Cricetulus griseus: one gene and its partner. The protein of the gene in region 1 purifies or fractionates together with the protein of each later gene. This does not show direct contact. Links are inferred from orthologs where the notes say so. Each region holds a gene or a part of one and is shown in the gene's direction. Other genes may lie near its edges.

What was found.
Region 2: the proteins of Tmprss6 (region 1) and hemojuvelin purify together in Homo sapiens (co-immunoprecipitation; 3 studies listed by IntAct). This does not show direct contact. The link is inferred for Cricetulus griseus from reciprocal best matches to the Homo sapiens genes TMPRSS6 and HJV.

The regions. Positions count from the first base shown.
Region 1 is NC_048595.1:375,563,011-375,567,610, reverse strand, and holds the start of Tmprss6 (transmembrane protease serine 6), read left to right. Parts: upstream 1-1,589; coding exon 1,590-1,821; intron 1,822-3,612; coding exon 3,613-3,746; intron 3,747-4,515; coding exon 4,516-4,583; intron 4,584-4,600. UniProt on the Homo sapiens protein: Membrane-bound serine protease. Through the cleavage of cell surface hemojuvelin (HJV), a regulator of the expression of the iron absorption-regulating hormone hepicidin/HAMP, plays a role in iron homeostasis.
Region 2 is NW_023276806.1:59,966,390-59,970,630, reverse strand, and holds hemojuvelin, read left to right. Parts: upstream 1-1,134; coding exon 1,135-1,231; intron 1,232-1,632; coding exon 1,633-2,180; intron 2,181-2,669; coding exon 2,670-3,293; 3' UTR 3,294-3,447; downstream 3,448-4,241. UniProt on the Homo sapiens protein: Acts as a bone morphogenetic protein (BMP) coreceptor. Through enhancement of BMP signaling regulates hepcidin (HAMP) expression and regulates iron homeostasis.

The DNA.
Region 1 (4,600 bases):
TCCTACCTTCTCTGGGACAGGATCTTATTTGTGTTATCTGGCTCACAAGCTTCTGGGGGTTCACCTGTCTCCATACCCCATCTTGCCGTTGGAGTGCTGTGACTACAGACGCCCGCTATTGCATCCCATTTTTATGTAGGTTCTGGGGATCCAAATGTGGGTCCTCACACTTGCCCAGCAAGCATTTTACTCTGTGAGCCATCTCGCCCGTCCCAGCTCTTATTTTAAAAGGGCAGCTGGAGAGAAACAAGGCCCAAAGCCAGGCATGTTGATTTTAACCAAGGTGGCCCAGGGTGCAAGGAGATGAATGGATTAATTAACCAAGGACCCTGAACCCTTGAACCCATTGCCAGACAGTGCATAGGAAGGGTCCCCATACTCCATCCAATTCCAGTGTGGCCACACTAGGGTAGGGTCTCATGGGCTTGGATGAAGGGTGTTATGTATGACAAAAGAGAGTAAGCAGGTTTGGATTCCCTGGCACAGCATTTGGGAGCCATGGAGGAATTCACAGCAGGGATGAGGGCAGCAGGCAGGAGACCTTTCTGGTGACAATGTGGAGGATGGGACAGAGGAGGGGACAAGAAGCAGGCAGCTCGGCTAGGAGGCTGTTTCAAGAGTCCAGGTGAATCTTCCTACCAACAAATGTTCTGGGGGTGCATTTTGGGGTCACAGTGACATTTATAGGTGACACAGGAGAGAAAGTGATATCCCAGTGAACTAGAATCCTTGCTGTGGTGTTGGTGGGGAGTGTCCTTCCGTGTCCAAAGTTTGCTTAGGAGTATCTAAGGTAGAGCGATAGAAGGAACTAGGAAAGGTGACCTCCCATTGTGATTTGACTATGACTTGCTAATTATAGGAGACAGCCAGAGTAGGGGGAAAAATCAGATACTCAGATCCTGCTATGTGATCTTAACCAGAGGGCTCAGACTCTCTGAGCCTCAATTGGTTTTTGTTTGTGTAAATCCTGGGTATTCAAATACACCAGGAAACTGAGGCTAGGCAAATCCTCGCCTGAGCTATTCCCAGGACACTCTGAATCTCACTATCTTCATCTGTCCAATGGGTGCAACTTCCCAAGAGGCTTACATGGAGCACTTGCACAGGGAGGATTGGGGAAGAACACATGGCCACAGTGGTTCATATCCTGGGCAACCTGTGGATTCAATAAAGTGATGTGCAAAATGTCTCCCAAAGGAATGAAGTGATCATGAACTTTGGTGGCCTTCCTCACTTCCAGGAGATTTTGAAAAGAGGAAGAGAGCAAAGGCCAGTGAAACTTGCAGGGCAATAGTCTGGGCCCAGGCTCAGGGAGTCTGGGGACTGTGTTGGACATCCAAGGAGGAAAACACATGATCCACATGGAAAGGAAGCCACTGGGAGAGTGGCAGAACTCTGTGTTCATGTTTCCATCCGTTTGTGGGTGTTGCCTCAGGACCCATAGGGAGTCAAACCATCCAGTCCTGCTGCCTGCCTTCTGGGATGTCCCCCTGAGGTCACCTCTGCTGTCTGTGAGCTGCTCGGCAGCCACCCTCATTCCCTGCCCCTTCCACGAAAAGGGTAGGGGTGCGGCCTTGCTTCCCTTGCAGATGCCAAGATGTTTCCATCTCCCTTGTTCTACCAGGATGCCCACCGCTGAGGTCCCCCAAGTAGGTGGGCAGGGTGATGGAGGCGATGGAGAGGAAGCTGCTGATCCAGAGGGAATGTTCAAGACCCCCAAAAACAGCAAGAGAAAAACCCGGGACTATACCCGCTTCTCGCCACTATTGCTGGTCTTTGCTGCTTTGGCCTCAGCAGGAGTCATGCTTTGGTATTTCCTAGGTAATGGGAAATGAGGCCCAATTGGAGTGGTATCCTGGGAGGGTTCAGGGTGGATGTAGGGACAACTGTCATGGCTGTGGGGGTGGTACAAAGGATGGACCAGTGTTCCAGGTTCTACAGTGCTTTTCTACTCCCTGTGTCCTACCTTTCAATTCACCTTCCATCATGTCCCTCCAGGTGAGCACACTGCTGGACCTTTGTGAGTCCAATGGCTTAGTCAGCACCCTGATTCCTTCAGCTGGGGAGGGAAGACTCTTGAGCACCCAATTCTTAGGTCTGGATAAACCAGGGTCTGTGTGCATGCCATCCTTTACCTACAGCCCTCCTGGGCTATCCCTTGGGCTCAAAGCCATGTGCTTTGCTGCAGGAGGCCCAGAGGCACCCACAGGACCTGGTACCAATTAGTGCCTCTGCTCATTTGAGCCCCAGGTGTTACTCTGGGGAGAGGACTATAGCTTCGTCACCTCTGTGTCTCCAGGACTCAGCATGGAGAATCAAGGGGACCACTAGACAGTACCCAGGCTTGGGAACCTCTTCTTCATATCTGACTTTGCCTCTTTGGCTCTAATATCATGGCCCTCAAGCAATCCTTGGAGCCCCATGGGTGATCCATCTATCATCATCCATCCAACAACCATTCACTCATCTTTTTATCCATCCAATCATTCATCCATCTATTCATTCATTGTCCATCCAACCATCTGCCATCCATTCATCAACCATCCATCTATCCACCATCCACTCATTGGCTTATCCATCAATACATCATCTACCCATCCATCAGCAACTCAACCATCTAATCATTCAGCCATTCATCTGTTATCTGTCAATCATTCATCAATAAATCCATTCATCCATCCATAATTCAAATATACATCCATCTATCCATCTGCCATCCACCCATCAATCCATCTATCTGTTATCCACCCACCCATCCAGTGCCAGGCACCGCCCTCACATTATACAGGCTCTGCCTCCCACCCTCTCCAAGAGCCATCTAAAGCCAGATTCCAGCACAACCCACCTTACTCACACAATGGGACCCCTTTCTTCCTCCACATCTCCTTGGGGCTTTTTCTCTCGCTGCAGCATTCCTAGAAGGTGTTATGTAGTATGGAGACCTCCATCGAATGTCTATTCTCATATACTCTGTGGAGCCAGGCTCTGCTCCACCACAGCCCCTGCTCTTTTAGCCTCTATCATGTTCATCATTGAATTTTGGACCCATGTGTCCCTCACTGTATTGGGCCAGGAGCACAGTCTCCCTTGCCATGACCATGTCCGTGCCTTCAACCTCAATTCTCCCTTCCTCAGCATTCTCTGCCGAGGAAGATGCTCCTCTTTGCCTCCACCCCCTTTTCCTTGGCATCTTTAGTGATCAAATGTCCTTTCTCCCTGGTGACTTCCACATTTGCTTGTCCAGCTCAGCTCTATTGCTGTCTCTCTACCTGGATGTTCAAGGATTCCCTTTAACCCCAAGTGTGCAGAACACAGCTCTCCCCAGTACCTACAATCCCTCTTCCCTGTGTCTACGTGCCTGCAGGCATCCATTTTGGCCATGCAGCTCCTTCTCTACTTACCCCTCTCCCCGCTTCCAGTTTTCCCAACACAGCAGATGCTTAGCATGCTCTTTGGAGATCCCTGTTAACTTGGTAGATGGGGATACAGAGCAGAGTCCCAACAGCGCTGCCTTGGAGGCACAAGACTCTGAGGACGTGCTGAGGATGACAGGTGAGAGAGGCAAGAAACCTTTGGACATGCTTCTTTGGTAACCCATTCCTTTCTGACCAGGTTACAAGACAGAAGTGACCATTAGCCAGGTGTACTCTGGCAGCCTCCGGGTGCTCAACCGCCATTTCTCCCAGGACCTGGCCCGACGAGAGTCCAGTGCTTTCCGCAGTGAAACTGCCAAAGCCCAGAAGATGGTAGGGAGGGACAGGAAGGCAGGAGGGGGAAATGTGGGAGGATGAGAGGGCAAGGGCATGTGTGAGAGAGTCTGGTGAGTTTGTCCGTCACTTTGCAGGGAGTGCTTGCTGGGATAGACCCTGTCCTGGCTACCGTGGGAAGGGTCATGCACAGGATCCAACTGACTAGACAGAAATCTTCATTTTGCCACTTGCCAGGAGTGCAGCAGGGAAATTGAAACTGTGCAGCTCTTATTGTCAGGGCCCTGCCCCTCTCATACAGTGCAATGGCCATTGCACTGGGGACAGTGGGCTGCTAGCCCCTTTCACTCTCAGCAGGCACGGGACTATTATTCAGGGGGCAGGTAGACATGCTGCAGGCACCCCTCAGCCATGAGAGAGGGGACAGCGTGGGCTGCTTCATGGTGGTGTCCCAGGTGTGCCCTCCTGATAGCACTTCCATTGCCCTCAGCTGTAACTTGCTCATTAACAGCAGGCCATCTGAACTCCCAGAGTGGGTTGGCCGTACCAGAAGTCCCTGGGAGAAGGAAAGGGGGACCCAAAGGTGAAGTGGGTCTTTGCAGGGTGTGGATGAGACTGTGTGTGGCAAGGGGAGGTTTTGGGATGGAGGACAAGGTGTGAGGTCTGTGCCTGTGACAGTGGCAAGTGAGAGCCCTCACCCTGGGCTCCCATGTCAGTCTGGAAAGAGAAAAAGACCGGGAAGGCACTTGGGAAGCCCGTATCCATGCCACCATGGAGGGTAACCAGGGCCTTGTCTCCCTTCTCGCAGCTCAAAGAGCTGATTGCCAGCACCCACCTGGGTGCTTACTACAACTCCAGTTCCATCTACTCCCTTGGGTGAGTTGTCCCAGCCC
Region 2 (4,241 bases), on another chromosome or scaffold:
AATTACAGACATCTGTTCTGAAAACTAGGATTTCTCCTTACCAATACCCCACCGCCACTCTTCCTGCCTCATTGTTTTGGTTTCCAAGCCATGTCTACTTGGAGTTTAATGCTGCCTCTTCTCCGGCCCTTATTTCCCTCTGCACTTTATTACACTGAGACTTTGGAGTGGGAGTTGGGGGATAATGCTGGGAACTGAACCCTTGAGCATGGTAAACACTCACCTATCACTGAGTTACACTCCCAGCCTCTAACTCAAGACCCCTTGCAGGACTCTTGCCCAATTATATATAGACTTACTCCAAAGAGTGGATTTTGGCAGGAGAAAGGGAGAGAGATCCTCCCCAATACCTGCCCCCCTTAAAAGACCAGGAACTTCAGGATTTGCAAAGGCTGGAGGGGGTGCACGGGGGATAATAGAAAGAGTTGTTCTTCAGGAAAAAAAATATTAATTTAAATGCTTGGTTTGTATCCTATGTGATGAGAGAGGGATCATAATGCCAGTCGTCTAGGGTGGCTAAGAGACTGATTCCCTTTTCACTGGAAAAATGACATTCTAGAAGGCACTTGTCTAAGATATTTACCCTTTGTGCCCTTCTAACACAATGAAGAAAAAGACATGGCAGGTGGCCGGCCTCTCGTGATTGGGAGTTACATATAAAAGGTATGTTTTTAAAGCATTTTCAGATCCCAAGGCTTCAGGAGAACCCGCTGAAATGATCAGGAACTCACTTTCCCCAGGAATCCCTCCATTTCTGACAAATCTGCTATTTGGTAGTCAGGATGAGGCAATACTGTGGACTCTGCCCACGGAGGTCATTCAACCTTCCCTCCACCCCCACCTAGGGGTATTGCACAAGGGACCTGAAGGTGGCCACAGGAGCAGGGCTCAGAGGCTCACTAGCCAAGCTCACCATCTGGAAGCCTCCTGCTTCCCAAGCTCCAGTCTGTATAATTGTTGTCTTGATCTCCCCAGATTCTCTCCACACCATCTTGACCCGTCTTCAACCCTTCTCTTTCCCCACACCCAGTCAAATTTCTTTTTCCAGTCACAGAACTGCCTGTCGAAATTCACTAGGTAGGAGGTTCATCAGCTGGGAAGAACCCGCGCCTGGGGGGATCTGGCTGGATAGGTATGGGGGATCGAGGCCAGCCTCTTAGTCCCTGGTTCCCCCATGGCGGTCCCCCAACTCTAAGCACCCTCATTCTACTGCTGCTCCTCTGTGGACAGGGTAAGGAAGGGTTAGGGAAGGGTTGGGCACCTCTAGATGGTAGGCTGCCGGGTAGGGGTGGGCATGCCAGCATCAGTGAGTGAGGGCGAAGGGGTGCTGAATCCCAGTCACTCTGAAAGAGGCCTGTCTTGTTTCCCCGTTTAACTGGAGGAAGGACACATATGGAGTCCTTGGACCGTAAGGGGGAAAGGTCCGACTGGATTACACGCTTTTTAGTAGAGAAAAAGAGGGAAGGAGGCGAGGAGGAGGGGGCTGAAGGTTGGGACTGGGAAAGCGCCCACTCTGGGTGCTAGGAAGAGCTGGGATGGAGGATGCCTTTTGGCAATTAGGCGCGTTCTGGACTTGGCTAGAACCTACGTCTGGGCACCGTCTCACTGTCCTCCTCTCCCTTCCGTCCTCAGCTCACTCCCAGTGCAAGATCCTCCGCTGCAATGCCGAGTACGTCTCGTCCACTCTGAGCCTTCGGGAAGGGGGCTCACCGGGTACGCAGCGTGGAGGCGGCCGTGGTGGGCTGGCCTCGGGTGGCTTGTGTCGCGCCCTGCGCTCCTATGCGCTCTGCACTCGGCGCACAGCCCGCACGTGCCGCGGGGACCTCGCCTTCCACTCAGCGGTGCACGGCATCGAGGACCTGATGATCCAGCACAACTGCTCTCGCCAGGGCCCCACGGCCCCGCCCCCGGCCCGGGGCCCCGCCCTTCCCGGAGCTGGCCCAGCACCCCCGACCCCAGACCCCTGTGACTACGAGGCCCGGTTTTCCCGGCTGCACGGTCGGGCCCCGGGCTTCTTGCATTGCGCCTCGTTCGGGGATCCCCACGTGCGCAGCTTCTACCACCACTTTCACACATGCCGCGTCCAAGGAGCTTGGCCCCTTCTGGATAACGACTTCCTTTTTGTTCAGGCCACCAGCTCCCCCGTGGCATCGGGGGCCAACGCTACCACCACCCGGAAGGTCAGGGATTCAATTTCCCTCCTAATCCACCTTCTGAAATCCTCTCCCGGTCCACCGGGCACACCACTCCTTGTTCTCACTCCTCAGCCACCAAGCTCCTGGTTCCTTGTCTTCCCCAAATAGTCCCGCCCATCTTGAATGGCTGCCTCTTATCAAACATTTGCCCCTGTAGATCAGTTCCTCTTGATGGGGATTTTATTTAAAATGCAGGTAACACTGAGGAAGAAGCTGGGGTGGCAGCCAGGCTATGAGAACTGAGGAGTCAGAAGGGACACTTTATTTTCCTGGCTGAGATTGAGAAAAAAAAAAAAAAAAGGAATGAGGGGTTGGATAGGGGTCAGGTATTACTGGAAGGCAATAGGGGACCGGATCAAGGGCCGTGGAGACACCCTGCGTCTGCTGGGATCAGATCCCTAACAATAAAAGCTGCTTGATTGAGGGAAAGATAAACTGAGTCCTAATAAACTATTTTCCTCTTTGCCCGCACAGATTACCATCATATTTAAGAACATGCAGGAATGCATTGACCAGAAAGTCTACCAGGCCGAGGTGGACAATCTTCCTGCAGCCTTTGAAGACGGTTCTATCAATGGAGGTGACCGACCTGGGGGCTCGAGTTTGTCCATTCAAACTGCTAACCCTGGGAGCCACGTGGAGATCCGAGCTGCCTATATTGGGACAACTATAATCATTCGACAGACAGCTGGACAGCTCTCCTTCTCCATCAGGGTAGCCGAGGACGTGGCGCGGGCCTTCTCCGCTGAGCAGGACCTACAGCTGTGTGTTGGCGGCTGCCCTCCCAGTCAGCGACTCTCTCGCTCAGAGCGCAGTCGCCGAGGGGCTATAGCCATCGACACTGCCAGAAGGCTGTGTAAGGAAGGGCTTCCCGTGGAAGACGCCTACTTCCAATCTTGCGTCTTTGATGTTTCAGTCTCTGGTGACCCTAACTTTACTGTGGCAGCTCAGACAGCTCTGGACGATGCCCGAGTCTTCTTGCCGGATTTAGAGAAATTGCATCTTTTCCCCTCAGATGCAGGGCCTCCTCTCTCCCCAGCTACCTTTCTAGTCCAGCTTCTTTCAGGCCTCTTTGTTCTGTGGCTTTGCGTTCAGTAAGTAGGCCAGCAACCCTGTGACTAGTTTGGGACTGATTTGAGGGTAGAGGTTGGCGTGAGAAAACATTAAGATGGACCAGAGGAAGCAGTGGGGACAGGGAGATAGCGGAGACAATGACACTCACCCAGAACCAGATGGGGCTACAGTCAGGGACGCCTTGATCCTAGAAGAAGAATTCTGGGTTTTGCATTCCAGACCGTGGTAGGAGCTCTTCACCGTGAGTTTCCGCAGTCCCATGGGTAGAAAGCTCATTACTCCACTCCACACATACCTGATATCACTCCTACAAATCTAGAGATTGTGAGAGTGCTTGTGAGCAGCAAATCATTAAAGGGCTGGGATTTCTTAAAGGCAAGAACTAAAAATAGGAAGATGTGATTATCTTTAAGAAAGTCCGAAGAGAAGAAAATAATTAAGTTTTGGGGTTCAGAAATTAAGCGGGCATTGTCTAGCTCTTAGACAAAGGAAGTCAGCTTTTGGAGACTAGTACCAATATAGAAACTGGCATCCCCACCCCTTACCGATCTGTTATTAAAGCTATGAATTCTCCACACTGTCCTCTGTCACCTGTGTTGAGTCCCTTTACGGATGTGTGACCTGGAATTCGGACAATGAAAGATATCTCAGAGTTATCAGCTATCCTATCTGCCCTTTTGGAGTCCCCAGGCTATTAGACAAAACTGGTTCACAGGAAGGAATCATGATTATTTTTATTATTAATTATCATTTGCTTTTATTTTTAATGGAGCCTCTCCAGACTACCCTTGAACTGCTGGTCTGACTATCTCTACTGTTCTTATGTCTCTAAGTGCAAGCAAGCCAGAAGAGGGCACCAGATCTTATTAAGGATGGTTGTGAACCACCATGTGTAAGCTGGGATTGAACTCAGGACCACTGGAAGAGAGCCCGTGCTCTTAACCACTGAGCCATCTCTCCAGAAAACAACCA